Linked DNA regions of Drosophila melanogaster. The protein of the gene in region 1 purifies or fractionates together with the protein of each later gene. This does not show direct contact. Each region holds a gene or a part of one and is shown in the gene's direction. Other genes may lie near its edges. The genes, in order: ClC-c and CG1161.

The links.
Region 2: the proteins of ClC-c (region 1) and CG1161 purify together in Drosophila melanogaster (affinity purification with mass spectrometry, with the first as the bait; one large-scale study listed by BioGRID). This does not show direct contact.

The regions. Positions count from the first base shown.
Region 1 is NT_037436.4:16,083,862-16,096,834, forward strand, and holds ClC-c (chloride channel-c), read left to right. Parts: upstream 1-6,592; 5' UTR 6,593-6,970; coding exon 6,971-7,057; intron 7,058-7,654; coding exon 7,655-7,997; intron 7,998-8,670; coding exon 8,671-8,837; intron 8,838-8,894; coding exon 8,895-9,098; intron 9,099-9,154; coding exon 9,155-9,787; intron 9,788-9,843; coding exon 9,844-10,061; intron 10,062-10,126; coding exon 10,127-10,687; intron 10,688-10,745; coding exon 10,746-10,909; intron 10,910-10,967; coding exon 10,968-11,181; intron 11,182-11,244; coding exon 11,245-11,335; 3' UTR 11,336-12,079; coding exon of another isoform or gene 12,080-12,140; 3' UTR 12,141-12,142; intron 12,143-12,195; 3' UTR 12,196-12,200; downstream 12,201-12,973. Other genes in the region: CG13075 (uncharacterized protein), read left to right, coding at 175-307, 377-699, 754-1,317; Tasp1 (taspase 1), read right to left, coding at 2,336-2,419, 2,490-3,475, 3,552-3,579; CG5235 (uncharacterized protein), read right to left, coding at 4,240-5,847, 5,903-6,391; CG13074 (uncharacterized protein), read right to left, coding at 12,080-12,140, 12,201-12,394, 12,455-12,731, 12,805-12,973.
Region 2 is NT_033777.3:5,351,167-5,360,415, forward strand, and holds CG1161 (uncharacterized protein), read left to right. Parts: upstream 1-3,925; 5' UTR 3,926-4,018; coding exon 4,019-4,087; intron 4,088-4,160; coding exon 4,161-4,384; intron 4,385-4,667; coding exon 4,668-4,776; intron 4,777-4,836; coding exon 4,837-4,962; coding exon of another isoform or gene 4,963-5,100; exon of another isoform or gene 5,101-5,258; coding exon 5,259-5,414; 3' UTR 5,415-5,582; downstream 5,583-9,249. Other genes in the region: CG11999 (uncharacterized protein), read right to left, coding at 2,678-3,267, 3,395-3,455; Prosbeta7 (proteasome beta7 subunit), read right to left, coding at 5,965-6,117, 6,189-6,690, 6,758-6,909; Cerk (ceramide kinase), read right to left, coding at 7,992-8,121, 8,182-8,384, 8,813-9,249.

The DNA.
Region 1 (12,973 bases):
AGGCATAGACAACGAAATCTGACAAACAATATTATCAACCCATAAACAATTGAAGGTTAATGCATAGTGAGCTCCTCCGCTATATAAGACGGCAGATGGGTGGTTGGGATCATATCAGTAAATCGTTCAGGTTGAGCAGCACTACCGAAAAGGTGTAAAAACTTTGGCAGGAACATGCAGAGGATAATCGCTTTGGTGGCCATCATGGCGTGTGGACTATCGTTCGTGGCAGCTCAGTCATGTCAGACTTGTCTGGAGCAAAACGATGTGTACTGCGTTGATCAGAACAGCTATCAGAATTGCATGAGTAAGTCCTGGACCGTAGTCCTTTAATACCTAAAGTCCTTTCATGTAAACATTCTATTTCTTACCTCAGAAAATGGTCCAGTTGGAGATATTATCGAATGTCCTTCGGGCACCGTTTGCTCCAATTCTGATAGCGTTTGTGCTCTGATCTCCGAGGTAAATTCGACCATATTGGACGTGTGTGGAGGCTCTGGCGGAAATGGAGCTCAGTGCGAAGTGTGTTCCTCAGGCGCCAAATACGCCTGTGTCAGCAGCACCCAGTATGCCCGCTGCTCCTCCGCCGGCGATGTGCTGACCAGCAGTGTGTACAATTGCGGCACAGATGAGATTTGTATCATAGATGCTCTGTCGACGTATCAAACCGTCTGTGTACCGTCTTGTGCCTCCGAATTTGTAGGTTTTGTTGGACTTTAAAAATTATTCATACTAACATGTTATACCTTATAGCTTGGATTGGATGCCACCTGTAGCAACAGTATTTATCAGCCAACCACAACAACTACAGTGGCTCCAACGACAACTCCTAGTGCTGCGCAGAAAGAGGATTTGTGCAATGCTGGCGAGCCTAGTACCAATCCTAGTTACTTCTTTACCAGAATAACCGATGACTCCACGTGCAACAGCTACCTGTACTGCCAGAAATCTGGAACCACCTGGGTTGCCCTCTATATGACTTGCGGCGCCTCCACGCCGTTCTTTGATTCAACCACCAGCTCATGTGTGACAACCAGGCCGACCAGCTGCTCGGATACAACGACTCAGTCGCCCTCTGATTCTTCATCGACTGCTTCTTCAACTGAGTCCTCCTCCGAGTCTTCATCAACGACTGCTTCATCCACAGCTTCCTCATCAACGGAATCTACACCAACGACTGCGTCCTCGTCGGCTTCTTCATCTACGGAATCCTCCACCGAGTCTTCTTCCACGACTGCTTCCACCACGCAGTCTTCTTCTACGGAATCATCCACACAGTCTACCTCAACAACTTCTACGACTACTCCTACTCCTTAAGCAAACGATTTTCCGCCAGTTTTCTAATTAAAGCAATAATATGGTTTTTACAAACCTTCTAAAATAATAAAGCGATATATATTTGTAAACAATCTTTGATAGGCATTTAATAGGTCCGAAATAATAAATACGATACATTTGAAATTCGTCATTGGTGTTAAATCGTTCTTGGGATATAACTGGCTTTAAACATGACTAACATGAAGATCATGATCTTAGGCAGTATTAATCATCATCTAATGGAACTCACTTTTTGCTGGTGCGCATGCAGTTTGAAAAAGCCTCGAGATGTCTAGCATTCTATATGCCATGAAATACCATAGGATTATTAGCTGGAACCCCATAAACGGAGAAATGAATACGTATGAATGTTTCGTTTAGAAAATCTCGCGTCATATGCGTATGTGTATGTACATATGTACAAATCGATTTACGCTAAAAAGTAAAAGCATTTTCACAATTTTCATGTTGAGGACAACTCGCGATAGTGGAGACCTTGATATTGTGTGTGCATGCTGTGGCTTCTGCTTAGCTAATATTAATGGGTTAAGTTCTGTACATTGATGGCCGTAAACACTTGGACATAAACACACAGATGCGCACACAAGGCAGCGCAAGTCTAAATATACAAACGGATACAAACATATGCCCCCTCGAATATGATATTCCGAACAGACTCGCATGCCGCCGGCTGATTTATCTAGCGCACCCGGTTCGACGAGGGATACAATATATTCGAAATCCTATTTCATTGCTACTACTAGTACTGCAAACATTACGATCTACGAGATTTTTACAATAAAAATATTTGCTTAATTATCTTAATATTTCGCCGAGAGAATGAAGCATATACACATAATGCTGTCCCAGCTCCTCAGGCGCCTTCTGCTCCCATATGTCATTGGCAGCGATTGTCGCGGCAATTAAACATTAAATCAAATGAATTGCAGATGCAGAGCAGCGGGACTAGGAGCTGCAGGAAGGTGCTGGGGGCTGCGGCTAGTTGGCCAGCCCACATTTAAATGCGCAAATGGAAATTATGGCCATTGACGACGCACGATCGGCCCGGGACGCTGTACGTGGGCAGCGGCGAATGCACAAACTGCAAATATAAACACATACGCCGAATTAGTTATATGTGAAATCAGAAAATGATGGATGGGTGTACGAACCTTTGGCACCCTCTGGTTGGTTGCCATGTAGCCGACACAGAACGACTGCGTCGTGTGGCTCCACATCACCTCGCCGCTGCTCTGGCCCGGATAATAGAGTAGCGTCAGAGCTCCAGCGTACAGATCCTGCTGTCGGGGCAGCAGCGGGGAGTCCAGGAACTTTTGCTTGAACGTCTTGTGAAGACTGGTCACCGCACAATCACTGCTAAATGCCCCATGGCAGATCTCTCGGGCCAGCAGCGTTTTCATCAGGTACTCGCCGTTTCCGGTTGTGCAGGTGGCTATGGCCAGTTCGTCCGTATCGGTGGCCCAACAGCCGGCACCATAAGTAGCCGCCTGCCCCACTCTGCCCGGAACTTTGAGCAGTATGCCACCGGAGCTACATCCAGCTGCTGTGTTCCCTGCCCCATCAACACATACCGCTCCCACTGTGTCCAAAGCAGCGGCAAGTTCCACCTCGTTTCCTGGTTCCGGCACTTGTACGGATTCCTCGGACGTTGCCTTGCCCAATCTGCTGTTGACCACGAGGTCGTACTTGCTTTTGTAGTGATTAAACTGGAACTTGGCCTTAGATGAGATCAGTACGCCGGGCTCCACCATGGAGCAACCCACCTCGTCGGCATAGTGTTCCGCTCCAGTGCCGGCGAGGATCATCGGTGGAATGCGCTCCAGAAGCTGCGGACTGGACTGGGCATCGCAGATGCGTCTCGCCAACTGTATGGGGTTCTTCACCCGACTAACGTTCGTGCAGGCGCCAAAGTTAAGCGTTGAGCCATCCATTATAGCCGCATCGCACTGCACAGAGCCGTCCATGCAGAGATTGGAGCCATAGCCGGCGTTTGTGTAGCCGCAGTTCTCCAGCCGCACAATGGCCGCCTCGCAGGCATCGACGGCGGATCCGCCGTTGCGAAGGATCTCCGTGGCGCGCAGGCAGGCCTCCTTAATCACCCGCTGGTACTTCGTCTCGTCGATGCAGTTCCCAGCCCCTGAGAGCAAGTGGCGGTCATCAATCATCTGGCTGTCTGCCCGGCGGATCGGAACCGCCATGGCCAAGATACGTACCCGTGTGCACCGCGACGAAGCCGGCCATGTTGGTATTGCTGTTTATGCTCGCGCCTTGTTGTTGGCCCAACTGCAATCCGTGCGCTGTACGGCGTAAACAAATTGATCAGAGTGACCGTGCGGGCCGAGTTGAAATATACCACGGGGAATGTTCGCTGACAGCAGGTCACTTTACAAATATACCAAAACTACACTCAAAAAAATTTAAATATTTATAAAAATTAACTTTATTTGAAAACTGCATACATTTTTAATATAGGCTAATATTAGTATCCCTGAAAAGATGCATACATTCTGTAAATCTTCAAAAATATGAAAACCTTAACATAAATATAAGTTAATCCTTATTTTATTGTCGGTAATTTAACTTATTTAAGAGAAAATTATTTGATTGGTTTGCAAGTCGGAGGTGTATTTTTTACTTTCTACATTTAGTGCAAAATTTTTAAATCCAATTTAAAAGTTCTTAAATTAAAATTAAATTAAAAAGTTCTTAAAAGCACCTTAAATCTCTATAAAATGTATATTACTTTATGTTAGTACCTAGTTTATATCGATTTGATATATTTTCATGTTTCATATTACGAGAATAATTTTGAATATTTGATAATCGTTCATTTGGTAAGCTAGCATTTTCACTGAAAACGTTTTGGATGGCTTAAATAATACTTTCAAACGCACTTTTATTTTACAATAATGTCGTTTGCAACCCGAGCTGAATGAGTAATAAAAGACTTAACGTAAAGTCTGTAAAAAATTGTGAACTTCCCGAACGAAGTTCTTCATTATCAGTGAACAAATAATTCAAACAAGCTGCCGGTGGCTTCACGTACGCTGTAAACTCGGGATAGCGAATTATTTCCGAAGGAATTGATAATGAATCCTTGGATACGCGACAAAACGTCATATGTGTTCCGGTTATAAATGCTTGTTCAACACGTTTCGTAAAGAGAGGATCATGCCAAGGCAACTGATTTAAATGCGATAGAAATGTGCGATCGTGAAATTCGGCTGGGTCGGATATAACAAGCTTGTTTAACAAAGACTCCTGGTAGATGACGTCTTCTTTGGACGTTTTTCCGGAATTTGGTTTGTTTGTCGCATTCTTCGCCTGTTTACTGTAGTCGGTGTAGTCACTGTTGTAGAGAAACATGTTCTCGACATCGGTCATATTTAAGGAATAGAATTGGTACACACGGAACATCTCGAAAAACTCACGCACTGGTGTCATACTATAACATCCGGACATCTCAATCTTTGGGTAATAAGTAATAAAGGTGAGACACATTTCCTCCTTCGTGGAATAGCCCCCGAATGTGGGTCGTTTTCTGTACTTTGTCTCATAGGAACAGTCTGTAATTAGGTAATCCCCTGGCAATACGACCGTTTCATTGGCAAGCTGATGGACTTTTTGGTGCCTGTAATCGTAGTTTTCGTCAACAATGATCGGATTCAACTCCTTACCAGATCGAACATGTCGAAGACTAATTGTGCGACCAGCTTGATGTGAGTGCAACGTTCCGGATATTATTTTAATACCATCCTTTGGGAACATGACGCTTGAACAAGACGGCCCACAAATGCCGACGGATCGATACTTCTTTTGACCAGGCGGAATGAGTTGCGTTTCCGAAATGGAAACACCACTTATTAGAATTCCGGAATCGTAGGTTCGCAGATTGGGTGTGTAGTGTATTCGAAAACCGGAGTGATCCACCGATTCCTTTCCATCGGGATTATCGTAGTGTATTTCCAGCATATAATAGCTAACTCCAGATGCTCCGCCCATTGGGATCCCTGCGTGGGGAGGTAGAAACTGTCCATCAGATCCCAAGGACCAAACTGCAACTGGCGTAGAGCACGAATCCCAGTCGCGTGGCGTCAGTAGGTTGCTGTTGCACACTGTGCCGGCACTCCTAACCCAAAGGTCCCAGGACGAAGGATCGGATCCAGAGTATATCTTGGACTGACACTCAAACAGGGTCATGTGGTGAACAACATTCCTCTCGTATTTACCAGACAGCAGCGGCTCATAACCAATTATATGCTGTTTGCCAGTTAACTCTGGTAGTCGCACTATTTTACACCAGTATAGTGTATCCATTGACCGATCAATTGTTACGTTGTTCACAGTTATGTCCCATTTTTGGATGCCTTCGATCGAGTGACTATTTTTCGTAAACATTGGCGAAAACAATTGCAAAGCTTTCACGCCTCTGCTCTGACCTTGCCAATCCAAGTTTCCATGAATAGGATCATTTTCCCCAATGGACCACAGTACCTTAAACGTATCAGCCTGCAATGTAAATTTATATTATTTTCATATTTAATTGATTGCGAAGAAAACTTACGGAGAGTGGAATATCGAATGGGTCACAGGTCTCAATTTTGCGTTTAAACTTCAGGATTGTGTGCGTCCCATTTTGTTTGCCATCTAGGACATCGTAGTTTTGAGTATCGTCCTGCAGCGGCGGTCCGCTTGAAGGATGCAGCGCCCCATGGCAGTCCAAGACGTTCGGATGTCCTGTGGCGTCATCCACCCACATCAAAACCATATCCGCTCTGGCCAGCCGGCCATCCTTGGAGAAACCCAGGCCGGCAAAGCCTCGTGTGTGAACAGTTACTTCAAAGTAAATGCTATTTTCGTTGGCGTTTATCCACCATTTGAGCCAGTACAAGCCCAAGCTGTCCATCATTTCGTTACGCACCCAGTTTTTGTGGTGTACAGAACCATTTTTATCGACATCATAGTCCTGCGTCCTTTGATTGTTTTCAAAATACGCAAGACCAAAACTCAACTGCACCGTGAGTACGATCCATAGTACGTCTTGAACGGACATGGCGTTAGCCTTGTACTTTAGCGTATGTGAACAATATGATTCTCTTTTAGGCGAAATTGAAACTTGTTTGGTGTTGAGTTTGCAAGTAATTCGCGCGTCTGCATTTTTTTCATTGAACAAAGTGATCGCGTCGGGATATCGTACCTATCGCGAATGATATCGACTACTTTTGCAATCGATTCTTGTTCGATACACTACGTTCTGTATTTCATTAGCTCGCCCGGTCTGGTCACACTGACGGTTCGCAAATAAATTATTCGCACACAAAAGTAAGCACTTCACAAAAGTAATGTGTACTATATAATCGATCAAATACTTGTTCGACCGTCATCCCAATGCATATGAGATCGAGTTCACATCCGCGATTCGAGTGAAATGGAAAGAAAGTGATTGCATTGCCGATTCGCCCCACGAACAGTTGTTTGTGCGTGTGTGTGTTTGTACTTAGTGACGTGCGCTCGCTGCGCTGCAACTGCGCTGCTGCTGCGCCGCTTTGCTGGACTGCAACGCAAAAAGGGAATCCAAAATATTGGATAGCTATCCAAAGAAATTGTCCACGTAGGATCGCCTGATCGCAGGATGGAGAAGTTTCCGCTGAAGGGCAGCAGGGAGGCCGCCGCGGAGGGCAACAGCTACATAACCGCCTACCAAACGGTCATGAAAAAGGTAGCCCACCATAAAACCCACTGGGATTTCCCCCCTTTCACAGAACAACAGAACAAATGTCTGTTTAAAAACTTGAAGTGTGGCTTAATTTTAGATAAATATGATGGAAAAATACTTAATATTGCAGTTATGCATTGTCTGTTTTGGATAAATATCTTGTCACAGTTCTTCTTTACTTCTTTACTTTCCTCTAAAAAGTGATATTATCTATCTATAACTATTTGAAATCCTTACTTCACTGGATTTGCCATATTCGGTTTCCAAAAAATGACACTAAGCCCAGCACAGAAGTCTCCTTTATCCAAATTCTAAGCAAATGCTTGCCAACTTTCGGTTGGCATTTAATTTGAATAGGCTGCTGAAGCTTCCCGGATAAGGGCGAATCCCCTGATAACACAAAAAAATCTGGCACAAGGGGGCGGAAATGCTTTCAATTGTAATTCAACGTACAGATGTATGTATTATTTGAACGGTGTCGCTGTGTCTGAGATCTTAATCTTATCAATGCGTATGCATAAACAAAGCGGTAGAGGCTAGCTAGCTCTCCAAATTCACAAACCTTATCTTATAGCTTTTTTGCTTATTTCGTTTTTTCAGTCGAACGGCCACACAAACGGAGCCGGCGGCGACGGCGACCTAGACGGAACTTTTCGTGACCATCCGCTGGCGCAGCACACCAAACTGACCACCTCGCTGACGGCGGCGGGCACCGACGACGAGGATATGATTGACATCACACCCCGCTCCAGTCCAGGCGATGTGATCGGCGGCGGCGGAGGAGGAGGAAGCAGCAGTGGCTATCACCGGGAAACGGCCACCGAATCGGACACCGAACGAGATTTCGGACACTCTGGCGGCAACGGCGGCGGCAATCACCACAATCAGCGGACAATGCACCAGCATGTGCCAACTCACAGTGCCTTCGGCGATCCTATGGACGGTGAGTTCGGAGAGATCCATTGCGTAAAACATCCAATGTTGCTGTCTGTGGTGTTAATCAAGATCACGAACATTTGAGTAAGGCGACGTCACCTCGCCGCATTGCCGGTTCCGAATATTCGGCTCACAGCTGTACTCATTCGCTGGCAATTCAATTAATATGTACAATCATTAGCATACAGACATGTATTGTGGAGACACCAGTTAACTTCATGATATATGTACATACGTATATTAATACAATCACCATTTACACACGTGATGCTAATTTAGCAATATAATCACTGAGTTGTCTAAACAACCAGCTGGCATTTCTATTGGGAATTATTTATTTAAACGAAAAAGAATCAATTATAGTTGTTGGGTAAATACTATCGTATATCTGATGATAATAGCAATCAATGTTTACAATACGCTAGAACGAGTAATATCTGTAAGAACTTTATTCGAGGAATCTGTTTAAGAAAACGTAAACGTTCTTCGTCTCGATACCTGAATGAAACACGAGAAAAATACTATAAATTTTTGCGGTTATAAGGCTCTGGTTCTCTTTGGACTTTGACACCAAACCATTAGAATTAGCGTAATCACGTGTAATGCTACTACGACAACATGATTCGGAGCTTACTGTGTCAAATCCGTAATGTTTATTGTATTATTTATTATTGCTATAGGAGCACTATCCTTCTATGGTTCCTCGGACGTGCAAGATGATATTCCTGGCATTGGGCAGTACGAAGATTTTCACACCATTGATTGGCAGCGGGACATTGCCCGTGATCGGATGCGACATCGCTACATAGTCAAGAAGCGACAGGACTCCTTGTGGGATCTGATAAAGGTATAAGATCGTTTATGATTCAAAACACACCATACTTATCAATCATTTTACTTAAAGGGTTCCATTGATGCCGGATCTGGCTGGCTATGTGTTTTACTCGTCGGAATTGCCGCAGGCTGTGTGGCGGGCATGGTGGACATTGGAGCTAGTTGGATGTCGGATCTAAAGCATGGCATTTGTCCACCCGCCTTTTGGTTTAACAGGGAACAATGCTGCTATCCGGCCAAACAGTCAGTATTTGAAGAAGGCAACTGCTCGACGGTGAGTGAAACTACATTTTCTTCCTGATAAGGCACTAAAACCGCATTTATTTTCAGTGGAAAACCTGGCCAGAGATCTTTGGTTTGGATCGAAATGGCACCGGACCATATATCGTCGCTTACATCTGGTATGTGCTGTGGGCTTTGCTTTTTGCTTCGCTCAGCGCCTCCCTTGTGCGAATGTTTGCGCCCTACGCCTGCGGATCTGGTATTCCCGAGATAAAGACCATCTTGTCTGGCTTCATTATACGCGGCTATCTAGGAAAGTGGACGCTGCTGATCAAATCGGTGGGTCTGATGCTGTCTGTATCCGCTGGCCTCACTTTGGGCAAGGAAGGACCCATGGTCCACATTGCCAGTTGTATTGGAAACATATTCTCACATGTTTTCCCAAAATATGGTCGAAATGAGGCCAAGAAGCGTGAGATTCTTTCGGCAGCAGCAGCGGCAGGCGTCTCGGTGGCCTTCGGAGCACCAATCGGTGGAGTTCTCTTTTCGCTGGAGGAAGTGTCATACTATTTTCCATTGAAGACATTGTGGCGTTCATTCTTTTGTGCATTGATTGCCGCATTCGTTTTACGATCACTGACGCCGTTTGGCAACGAGCATTCCGTGCTCTTTTTCGTGGAGTATAACAAGCCCTGGATCTTTTTCGAACTTATTCCTTTTGTTTTCCTCGGAATTATGGGGGTAAATCTGAACTAATTTTGAAGCTCTACAATTTATTAACATAATATTTATTGTAGGGTGTTATTGGCACATTCTTCATCAAGGCCAATTTGTGGTGGTGCCGCTACAGGAAGTTCAGCAAGCTCGGACAGTATCCAGTAATGGAAGTGCTCTTCGTTACCCTGGTCACTGCCATCATTTGCTACCCCAATCCATTTACCCGAATGAACATGAACGAGCTAATATTCCTATTGGTTAGCAAGTGCTCACCCGGAGATGTCACCAATCCGTTATGGTACGTTTTTTCAATAATAATTATTTTTTATTTTTTTTTTATAATAACTACATATTTCCTTATAGTGATTACAAGCGCATGAACATCACGTCGGGCAACAGTTTCATTGAAGTTACGGAGCCAGGTCCTGGTGTGTACAGCTCCATTTGGCTGCTTATGCTCACCTTTATACTTAAACTGGCCCTGACCATCTTCACGTTTGGCATGAAAGTGCCCGCTGGTCTGTTTATTCCGTCCCTGCTCCTTGGCGCCATCATGGGTCGCATTGTTGGAATCGGTGTGGAGCAGTTTGCCTACAGCTATCCCAATATTTGGTTCTTTACCGGTGAGTGTGCGGACAGCAATCTTATCACACCCGGACTGTATGCGGTTGTGGGAGCAGCAGCTGTGCTGGGAGGTGTCACTCGAATGACCGTCTCCCTGGTAGTGATAATGTTCGAGCTAACAGGCGGAGTGCGGTATATTGTGCCCCTGATGGCTGCCGCCATGGCCTCCAAGTGGGTGGGTGATGCTCTGGGCAGGCAAGGTATCTACGATGCGCACATTGCGCTGAATGGTTATCCGTTCCTAGACAGCAAAGAAGAGTTTGCGCATACAACACTGGCCGCAGATGTGATGCAACCAAAGTATGTATAAAGAAAACCTTTTTTTCCTCAAGATCATCTAACAAAAACTTCATTTTAGGCGGAATGAAACTTTGAATGTCATTACCCAAGACTCCATGACGGTGGACGATGTTGAGAACCTTCTTAAAGAAACGGAACACAATGGCTATCCGGTGGTGGTGTCGCGGGAGAATCAATATTTAGTGGGCTTTGTATTGCGCAGGGATCTTAACTTGGCCATAGGTCAGTCACAACTTGTTTCGAGATCATGTTGCATAATTAAATATTACAAATTTTATAGGCAATGCCAAGCGTCTAATCGAGGGCATTAGCAGCAGCTCCATAGTATTATTCACATCATCCCAGCCTATTCAAAATCTGGGACCCCAGCCGCTGAAGCTGAAAAAGATCCTGGATATGGCACCGATCACAGTTACAGATCAAACGCCAATGGAGACGGTAGTGGACATGTTCCGAAAGCTGGGACTGCGCCAAACATTGGTAACACACAACGGGTGAGTTTGTGGCCAGAAGCAGTTTAACCAGTTTCAAGTTATCTAATCCAAATTCCATTGCAGTCGCCTACTGGGCGTAATTACAAAGAAAGATGTGCTGCGCCATGTGAAGCAGATGGATAACGAAGATCCCAATACGGTGCTCTTCAACTGAATTTATCAGCCAATCAGAAGTTGGGCGAGCGCTGCTTCTAGTTATTATTATGTGAACTATGTGCAAAATGCAGATTGCAATCTAAGCTTAAGTGAAAAGTTGAACGAGTGGATGCAAAGTGGACTGAAATGGATTAGAGTGGAATCGCGTGATTAGGACAGATAGGATCGGACGTTCGGACGTGAGAGATTTAGCAAAATTGTGTGCAGTTCTATTATATATTTATATATCGCATATATCTCGTTAATGTTAATTGTATAATTTATTTTACTGTAGGCAAATGGTTATAAAAGTTTAGTGTATTCATTTATTGCCATTTTGTAATTATGTCATTCTAGCACTTTTCTACACACAGCATATTTCTTTTTATATGTTCACATACAGCTTGATAACACTATGAAATGATCTATAGTTGTAAAAGGAACATTTTATTTTGTGAATCGTATGTGAAAACGCGGTTTTAACGAGATTCCCACAGAGAATGCAGTCTTATTTTACGCCAAATTTTCGAAATGGCTTTACGTTTTTGCATTTTGTTCAAAATTCTACACAGATAAAATGTCTTGTTTATACAATACATAGTCTATATTTACATGTGGTATTTGTTAGAGATCTGAGAAATTTTAAAATAAAATTGTGTATATACCAAACCTAAGAGAAGATAAAACCGTACATATTAACATAAGCAGTCATGCAAATACAAGCGATTATTTCAAAACTGAGAACAAAATTCAATACGACTATTTAGTGTTCTACGTAGAATATCTGGAACTCGTCGCCATAGAGGCCTGCAATTAACCAGCGTCTGTAAGATAATTATTATTCAAATTTGTTGTTTTATTGATTTCCTTCGTTATTAGCTCACCCATTGTCGCTACTACGGATAAGGCTTCCCTTGCCGCGAAGTCCTCCCTTGACATGGGCATGGGCTCCATCGCTCACCCTATAGTATTCCAGTGACCCATCATTGGCTGGGCAAAAGATGATGTTGCCATCCCGACTACAGGCGATTACGTTTTTAAAGGGAAGTGGAATTTGTACTATCAACTGAGCCATGTCCTGTTCATTATTTAAGAGAAAATAAATAGTGTTCAGCTCGTTTGTTTGTCATGTTATCACCTCATCCACAAGCCGCATATCGTGATAAAAGGCCTGTCCACTGAGATCGCAGCTCAGGACGAACAGGTTGCCCTCCATTTCGGTACGGAGGAGGGTGGAAACCATGAATCGATGTCGCCGTAGGGCCAACAATTTGATCTGCTTGATGGCTGCGGTTTGCCGGCCGGTGTTCCAGCAGCGATAGACGCCACCATCGTTAGTGCCCACGACGAAGTCATCCAGACCAAGGGTCACCATTGCCGTAGGCTCTGAGCTAACCGTTGCGGGCAGGGTGTATCTGGAGAAGTTAATTAAATAATATTTAAGATTAATGCCGGGAAATGTTTCGTTTAGTGTTTAGAGAGACTCACTCCCAATCCAGAGCCATCTGCCTGCTTAAATCCCACTGGCGAACGCTGCCATTGGCAAAGCAGGCCAACAGAAGATGTTCCCGCGGCCAGTCCAGAGCCACTGCAGCTCCCTGGGTGGAGGATACACTGTATAGCTGTTTGATATCGACGCTGGAATCGGAACCCCTCG
Region 2 (9,249 bases), on another chromosome or scaffold:
CTTGCTGAAGACGATCTATGAGTTTAAACATTTAAGAACTAATAAAAGGGGATAACAATTGATATTGTTTTGATTCATATTTTCTATAATATACTTATATTACTATATGTATTTATAATTTTGTAGAAAAGAAAAAAGTTTTGTATCAATTAACATAGAACGTTTGTACGTTTGTTTATACTATTATCATATATTAGTCAGTGACTAAGTGTCTTGAAAGCTTCTAGTTAAACCTACTCTATTTTCGAAAATTAAAACATGTGGATAGCTTTCTAATCGTACTCCAAGTAACTTTGAGATATTTCGCCACGACGTAGGTCAGGGTGCGCCGGTTAGTATGCAGGGCGTTTTGCTTACGCTTTCCAGCCACTCGTGCGTATACACAACGTACTTTTCGTTTGGAATTGTGCGGCAGAGGGGCAGGCGTCACACTCGCAAACAAACAAACATCGCAACATTCAAACATTTTGTGTCAATCTGTCAGTCACTCAAGCAACGAGTCCTTTCCCACTTTTAAGCGCTTTAAACTTTGCCCGCTGTCGATTAAGACAAATCGATAAGGGAAAACGTTTCCCTTTTATATGTATAATATATATTATCGTAGGATTGCTAAAACACTTGGGCATTTATGCGTGCAGAGAAAGAGATTTGAGTTTTATTTTCAGTATTAAATGCCGAATAGTTTCGCAATTGGATTAGGAAATACTTGATTAGTTGGCTTATGAGCTTATTTCGCTATATCTATCCCGATCTATACAGTTTTCTACACTAAGTCTAATGAAAATTTTTAATAGTGTAGCTTCGCTCCAAAATATTCTCTTTATTATTGGTCACATAGGAAGCACAATACAAGGATACGATGAATACAAGGATGGGCCACCGCTTAACAATGGAATCCGGTTGTCGGGGAGGGAAAGTCCTGCGAGCAGGAACACATCCTTATACATATGTATGTATGGGTGTGCGTATGAGTGAGTTTGGCGTTAACACGTTAAGGGTAAATCAATAAACGCGCAGAACGGAAGTTATCAACACCTGTAAGGGATAATTGACGTGATATTAAATGGTATGTTGCCACAGCAGGTGGCAGCATTGCCGATTTCATTAAACACATAAGCCCACTATATTGCATTAAATTATGCGATAATTGATCAATTTTAAAGGATTATATATAATGTTAAGACGTTCATTTCTGTAGCAATATAAGCAAAATGAAGAAGACTTTTATACTAAGCCGTGGAAAAACATTTGGTTCACTATACAAAGTTTAACATGCTCAGATGGTAATCGACAACTAAAGTGTTTTATACTCTCCGATACTATGTTCTGGTAATATGACATCGTGGACAGCTATGTGCTATCCATATTCCATATACTATTTATGACAATTTATTGAAAGTCTATAATAATTGCTGTACAGAATTTCCAATCAGGAATAGTTGACACAAGATTCAAAGCTTGATACTTCCAGTATTTGCATCGTAAAGCATGAAATTACGGAGTTGAGGGTTATCTTCAGATGGTGGATCTTGCTAAGATTTCCTGCTGGGGACAACATCGCTCATCAGACTAGTAGAACGAGTATCCTTGTTTCCATTTCTTATTTGTGCAAAATGGTTACAAGGACAACCCGATTATGAGAATCTATAAACGACTGTGCGCTGGGTTAGATCAGCTAACACTTTGACCTTACTGGGTCCACAATCAGTTGGGATTACGGGGATGCGAAGGAGGCGGAGGCAGCGGAGGATGAGGACATGGCCCGGAGGATGAGCAGACAAAGCGTTGACAATGGCCCAAACAAAAGAAACACAAAACAGACGAGCAGATAATGGACGTGACGATATCGGGGCAGCAAGGGAGCGGAAACCGCGAGCAATGGCAAAATGTATATACATAGCTTGTATGGTCGGAATAAGCCCCATTGTTTTATGCATGCAAACAAAAACATCCGAAGGAATGGGGAGCACCTTTCGCGAAATGCGAGTGACGCCCTACGGCTGCATCTGCAAGGATACTTCCCGCTTTAGCTTCAAGCTAAAGGGCTGTCAATCCGGCATGGGATACCTTCTGTTGGAGTTCAAAGATATCGACATTTTCCGCCAAATGCAATCAGTCTTAATCATCAATGAGTAGTAGAAAAGTGACACGAACACGCTATTAGCACCTGGTAACCTACGCATGTCTTTCAGCACTACATGGAATAGATACATCTGTATTAACTGCAGTAATGCCAACAGAAAGAGTACTATTGCCTCAAAATACCCGTTTAAAATATAAAAGGTTACATAAAAATAAAAAAGCATTTGTGTGCCTGCAACTGACTAAGTAGACAATCAATCAAAGTTCTAGAAAAATTTAGAAAAGTTAGATTGCAACTGAGGTTTCACTACCTTAAAAAGGGCTCTATAGACGCCCCCATTTGTTGCAATGCATTTAAGCTAAGTGGTTCTTACGACTGCCTTTATGCAAGGCACTTTCTAGATAGAATACATAATACATACATAGAATACATAACTTTCGATGAAAGCAATCTGAAAGTTTCGAAGTACCCTGAGTTTAAATAATTTTAATTTGATGGTTTGCTTTTGGGGTCTTCAATAAAAATTCAACTAAGTTATAAATTACAGAACTAATAGTAGTATGAAACTGCAGCAGTCGAGGTCCTTAGGGAGCACTACAGCTCCGAGTGGGCGTACTCGTCGTGCGTTGAGCTCTTCTCCTTGGGCACGATAAAGAGGCCCTCCGCCGTGGTCCAGCGCGTTCCGTGCTGCGGCTTGTGGACGCCAACGATTTCCATTTGGCCGGAGATGGGTCTGCCATAGGAGCGGCCGGACATGCCCAGGTACATGCCGGTGTCGATGTGGCGCAGCCTAACGTGGGCACTGCGCATCCAGTTCTCGTTGGAGCAGACCACCTCCCAGTGGTCGCCGGTGTCGCCGAGTCCATCCGTTCCGTACGCGGACACCTCCTGCTCGCCTGAGAGCGGCGACGAAAAGTGGTGCGAGTGCAGGTTCTTCTTGGTGGACAGGTGCTCCAGTCGCACGGTGGATCCGCAGGCGATGGGCTCGCCCCTTTCACAAAGCTCGCCGGTCTGCGCCTTGATCACCCAGTGGCTGTTCACGTCCTCCTTCTGCTCCACGCCCGTCACCGACTGCTGCCCGGAACCAGATCCGTACTTGACGTCGTGGGAGTGCAGGCGGAAGGCGTAGTCCGAGTTGAGCAGCTTCAGGATGGAGCCGCAGGTGACCACGTTGGATTCGGTGGCTGTGTTCAGCAGGGTCAAGATAGAATATAAGATAAGCATTAACTATGGCCACGGAAGGTTCAGAAAGAGGGGCGGCCAATCAGAGAAGACCACATAGACGCGACTTTGTTTCAGGTCGCCACTTACCGGCTCCCCTGGAAATGCTGCCTACCAGCGCCAGTCCTGTAAGAAGTAGTATGTGCTGCATCGTGTCCTGTTCTAGTTATCGTATCCTAGTCCGTGGACCTAAGTCAGTCAATCTGTACCGGCAATTACGGTTGAAATCAGCGTTGCACACGCAAACAATTGCTATTTTTGACGGTGCTGGTGTGACCAGGCTGCGGTAAAATCCAAATTATGGACTCACCGAAAAAAATAAACATAATACTATAACAAACTCCATATTGCTGTAACTTATTCCATTAACGGAAAATAGCTTAATGTATATAATAAATGTTGAATAAAGGAAAAATATAATTAGTCTTTTCAGAGAGCAGATTACGAATTTGACGTCACAGATTTATTGATACGCCTAGAAACTTATTTCTTGATTGTTTTAGAATTAAATGAACGTTATATCGTGAAGGAAATAATTAGTTATTAATAATTAGCCTAAAAACTAATTGCACCAAAAGGAACTAGTTCGATGAGCGACAATTTGTTGGTATTTTCTGTGCACCAGACAAGTACGGTCACTCTGCGAAATTGCAAGGGAATTTTCTCCAATAAAAGGCAAGAAAACTGAGGAAAATTGAAATTAAAGAAAAATTAATGGCACACAAGCGCCTGTTCGTCTACGCGGTGCTACTGGTGATATGTTATTTGGTTGGCGTGACATGGGTATGATGACTGGCCACATCCCGTGACTGCCCCACTAATCCGCTTTCATTTCCCCCTCAAACAATCAACAAAGGCTGAGACTGCGGCGCAGACATTCCCAGCGATCGGCACCAACAGCAACAACAACAGCAATGCTCAACCTGCTCCTGTGCCTGCACCTGCAGCTCCAGCGGCTGCAGCTCCACTAGCCAAGCAAGTTTCAGCTCCCACTGCCGCCCCTCCGGCCAAGGTCATCGGCCAGCCTGTGCTCGCTGCTCCAGGCAAAAATTCTTCCAATTCCAGCAGCACAACTGAGTGGTAAGTGGCACTGCACTGGCAGAAATTGCCGCATCTGGAAACTTAAAGTCTAGTCCATTTGAGCAGTTTTAAAGCTGCAATCCCTTTCGTCCCACTGGATTCTACTACTTTAAATTCAATTTACGTTGTTTGCGTAGGCTTCAAAGAATCATAGTTCATGTATTGCACAAATGTATTCACTTTTCAGCTACTAAATGTATAAGGCATCTTGGTATCAATGAGCTTAATTTGTGATTCTGTTAGGTTGGAGTTCTTAACAACCTGCTACACGTTACCATTTCAGCGTCTGTGCCGGTGCCCTGCTGCCCCGTTTGGATGCCAATGGCAAGGAGCTGCCCATATGCGCCGAGTGCAAGTGCTCCCATGTGGCGAGAAATACGACGCTGATAAAGGTGAGTCAATTCGAGTGCTCAAAAGCCGTCCGTACTTAACCAGCTCTCTCCCCCATCCAGGTCGTGGTCATTATTGTGATTTGGATCATCTCCATTTTAGTAATATACATGCTCTTCCTGATGTGCCTGGACCCGTTGCTGAACAAGCGAGTGAAGGCGAACTACCAGGAGCACACCAACGAAGATGTACATAACAAGCTTTCTAGATACAAGGGCATTCAGTATAGCCTCCTAGTTACAGCCCAAGGCGAAGATGATGAAGATGACGATGTTGATGCCGAAGCGGCTCAACTAGTTGGCAATAAAGAAGCACCACTCTTTTGAATAGATTTTAATTTCCACAACCACCTTTGTTTCATTTTGCGTTATAGATTTTGTTGACTTTCTAACCCACACCGTCACTTCATTAAGACAGTAACTAACACGGCCAGATCTTGGATCACCTCGACTAATTCCACATTTTTCCACCCTTTTCTAACCAGGATGAACCAACGCCGCCCCTGCCAGCCGTCAACAACCAGGAGCTCAGTGCCAGAGCCAATGTCCTCAATCGTGTGGGCCACCAGCAGGACAAGTGGAAGCGGCAGGTGCGCGAGCAGAGACGCCACATCTACGACAGGCATACCATGCTAAACTAACAAGGGGTTCGGTTTGCAGCTGGCGGAGATTAGGAGGCGCATGGGCGACTTAAGACACGTATTCCAAGCAGTTATCCTTTGCGAAATTCCCCTTTGGATCAAATTGATTATCTGTATATTTAGCCAGATTTTATGTTAATTAAAATAAACCAAAATATGTTTGTCAGGAGTGTTTGCATATTAATTAATAAGTTGAATGCCGGGAGGAATAACCAACAAATCCACTAAAATAAAACTTTTAATGATAATTGATGGTTATAATTTGGGAAAATAAGGAACGTAAGACCGTAATGGTGAGTCCAAGTTAGATTTGGAAACTCCCTTGGGCTTCTTAGTTTGACGCCTACTTTTTGATTCCATCAGTAGAGATTAACGAAAGAATAACTCGAAGATAGTTTCTATCACACAATAACCATAACTTTAAACGTATTATTTTCAGCCACATTTATTTTTAATAAATCATGTAACCACATATCCTTAGACAAGTGTTTTTTTTTAATGCAAAACCGCCGAGCTAGACCTAAACTAAGTTCATTCAGAATCGGAGGCTCTAGTATCCCTTTATGGTTTCGGCGAATGTCCAGTTTTCGTTAACTTGGAAGGGCCCCTCCACGCCGCATCCGTTGACGCTGCACACGCCCACAGTGTATTGGGAAATATTACGAGTATCGCGGTAGTAAAGCACCTCCATGCATGTGCGGATCTAGAATATAAGAAAATGGTAGGGTAGTTAAATAATGAAGAGTCCCCCCATCAGAGTTCGAAATTCCTTACCAGTTCGGAAGCTTCTACGGCGGTAAAGTCCCTGTCCTTGGGCTTCTTCTCACGGACCAGCGGAACGGCCAAATGGCGGGCAAAACCAGTGGCCACCACGTAGTCCTCGTAGGATCGTCCACGGAGATCCACGTTGGCCAGGTACGGAGTCCCCTCGTTGTCCACGCCGCCGACAACCACGTCAATGTAGAGGGGGTTCATCCGCGAACGACGGTTGTAGAGCACACGGGTCATCCAACTGGCCAAGGACTTGGGCTTCATCTCGATGTTGTCGTCGCAGCACTGGTCCTCGATCATCTTCTGGTCGATGTTGCGCTTGATGGACTGGATGTCAGCGAAGTCGCCGCTCCCGCCGAGCAGGATGTTCTTGTTGACCTTAAAGACGCGCTCAATGTTTTGGTAGCGGGCCATGGATCCGTAAGACACCAGGGTGTCGGCGGCCAGCATCACTCCTGAATCATAGCGAATGCCAAGCACGGAAGTGCCCGTGGTGCTGGAAGCACTGCGGAATAGTAAAAGGAGTGTAAACAAGTGGTACATCTGCATATAAACATATCCGCAGTTCCTACGTGCTGTGCTTGGTTCCATAGGGTCCCATTGTGGTCAGCTCCCGCGGTAGCTGCTGGACCGGCGTCTGTCCGCCCGTGAAGTTGTAGAACTCGCCGGGAGCGGGTCCGTTCTGCCACATGGGCTGCGCTAGGCTGTTGTAGTTGTTCAACATGCTAATTTATTCGGAGACTGGAATAACGCGAGACTTTGAAATGTTTGTCGCTGCCGGAGAATGACGGGCACAAATAAAATCAAGAGTCAGCGCAGTGTGAACAGACTTTAGGCGGGCGGCAATACCAGTATCGGCAACCGGTAGCTAAAAATACCAGACATACCAAAGATGAATCCACTATTAGCTTGGTCACACCGTTTTACATGTGTTAAATTAAATTAATTTGAAGTTTAATTGTGAACTTTTTAACATTTTATTAGATGTTGATGTTAAAAGTAATGTAAAACAGTTAACACCACGCTGCCTATACTGAATTTGTTTTTTTACTTTTGTCTTTATAATCCTCGTTGATAATACAAATCAAGGAGAAGAAAGATAAGAAATTAAAGAACTTTTCACTCAATTAGGATTAAGACTCATGTATACCCGTTGCTTCTACGGTATTTACTACTCCTTGAAACTAAATATATGTTTAGTTAATATATAATGACCATTTGCTTTACTTCATTTTAAGCCGTTCAATGGTCATTAAAGTATAAGAATCGAGAGCAATAAATGTAAATGACGTTTGGAAATTATCCTGGTCAATCTACAAATCCAATATCTCCCTTCTCTCCCTTCGAACACGATTCTCCATAGCTTTTTAAGCGGAATAAGGTTCTTTTGCTAAAACTTCTGCTTTTATTCATATTGGTGGGAAAAACGCACATGTTCCGGATTGTTGTTTTTGGGAACCCAACGAAGTTTTTTATCATAACATTTGATCATATAAATTAATAATAAAGAATTATAAATTTGAAGACATATAAATACATTTTTATTGCCAGTATACCAGTACACAATTTGTAAATATATAGGTATGTGCATAATGCTTCCGAGGGGAATGTTTAGGTTGCTGCCGCATCTTTCAGATGCCATAATACAGTCGATAATATCAGTTGCTTTATTGAGCTATGCTAAAAACAATGACGGGGAGACCCGCTCTTTAACACGATACATATACGAATAAGGATACCCTACGCAAAACTAAGAGCTACATGTCACGGCCAACGATTGATGCTAATTCTATGGGGTTAAAGCTTCTAGTCCTTGCAGCAGCAGTAAACATTGTCGCTAGAGCTAGCTGGGGTTGTGGGCGTGGTGCCGCCCTTGAGGGGCTTGCTGTAGGAATGGGGACCCCGCATGAAGACCTCGATGAGCTGACAATGCGATCTGCCAGATACGGAACGGTTAATAAGCGATTTATTGAAGTTAAAGGTACAACCAACTCACCGCATGGTTATGTCCAGGTCGGTCACCACCTCTCCATCACAGTTCCAGCTGGAAAACTCCGTCGAGGAGGAGTGGGCGGTCATTTCTTCAGGCGGTGTAATCGGCTGACAAGACCCTGCCAAGCTGTAGTCCTCCTCGCTGGCAGAAAAAGTTCTGAACCGGAATTCCCTTGTGCGATATACCTCTACAAAAGGCAAATTGCGCTGCAATGGGAAAATGTTTTTAAATATTTATTGTTTTCTACAAAATTTAATTGTATCCTTTTATTTTTCATTTATATTTTTACAGTAAAAGATACCATCGCATTCACTAGATAAAACATTATATTGTTGAAACTGGTCAAGTATATACTTTATATGGATGCCACCAGAGCGGCTAGTAGATCTTCGTAAAATAACCTTTCTGTCACAGATTTCCCTCGCTTCAATCCGAGCTAGATGGGGTTCGGTTTTGGGTTTTTGGCTTTTAGGATAGAAAGCACTAAGCTCAGCTTGTAGGCTTAGGGGATTTGGCAATTAAAGATGCAGTTAAAATGTTATGGAAATGTTATTTCAAAGGAAATGGACGCCTCTTATAGGAAAGGTGTTCTTTTGGATGTGAAAGTTGAATAGTTGTAATAGTTAGTACTCACAATATCACCACTTCTGCCCGCCGTGTTGAGCAGAAAACGCACGTTGTTGAGCAGTGAGGTCTTTTTCACGAGAATCAGGTCCAGGCAACCATCACCCAGATGACTGTAACGGGAGATGCCATTGGGACTCCTGGCGCAGGCGCAGGTTATGTTCGCGCCGCAGATCATAAAGAAATTGCCCCGCACAACCTTCCACTGATCGTTGCCGAGGTTCCTCATTGATGAAATGGAGCCAGTGGGCAATCGAAGATTGCCTGGACGCGGACGAGGCCTCAGGAGTGCTGCTTCACTGGCGGCTAGATGAGAGTCCTCTGTTTCTACCTGCTGATTGCGCTCTGCCTCTTTAGATTCCTCTTGGATGAACAATGAGGATCGCTGTTCCTGTATGCTGCTGGCGAAGCTGCAGCGCTGGCAATTGGCATAGCAGACGGATGGCA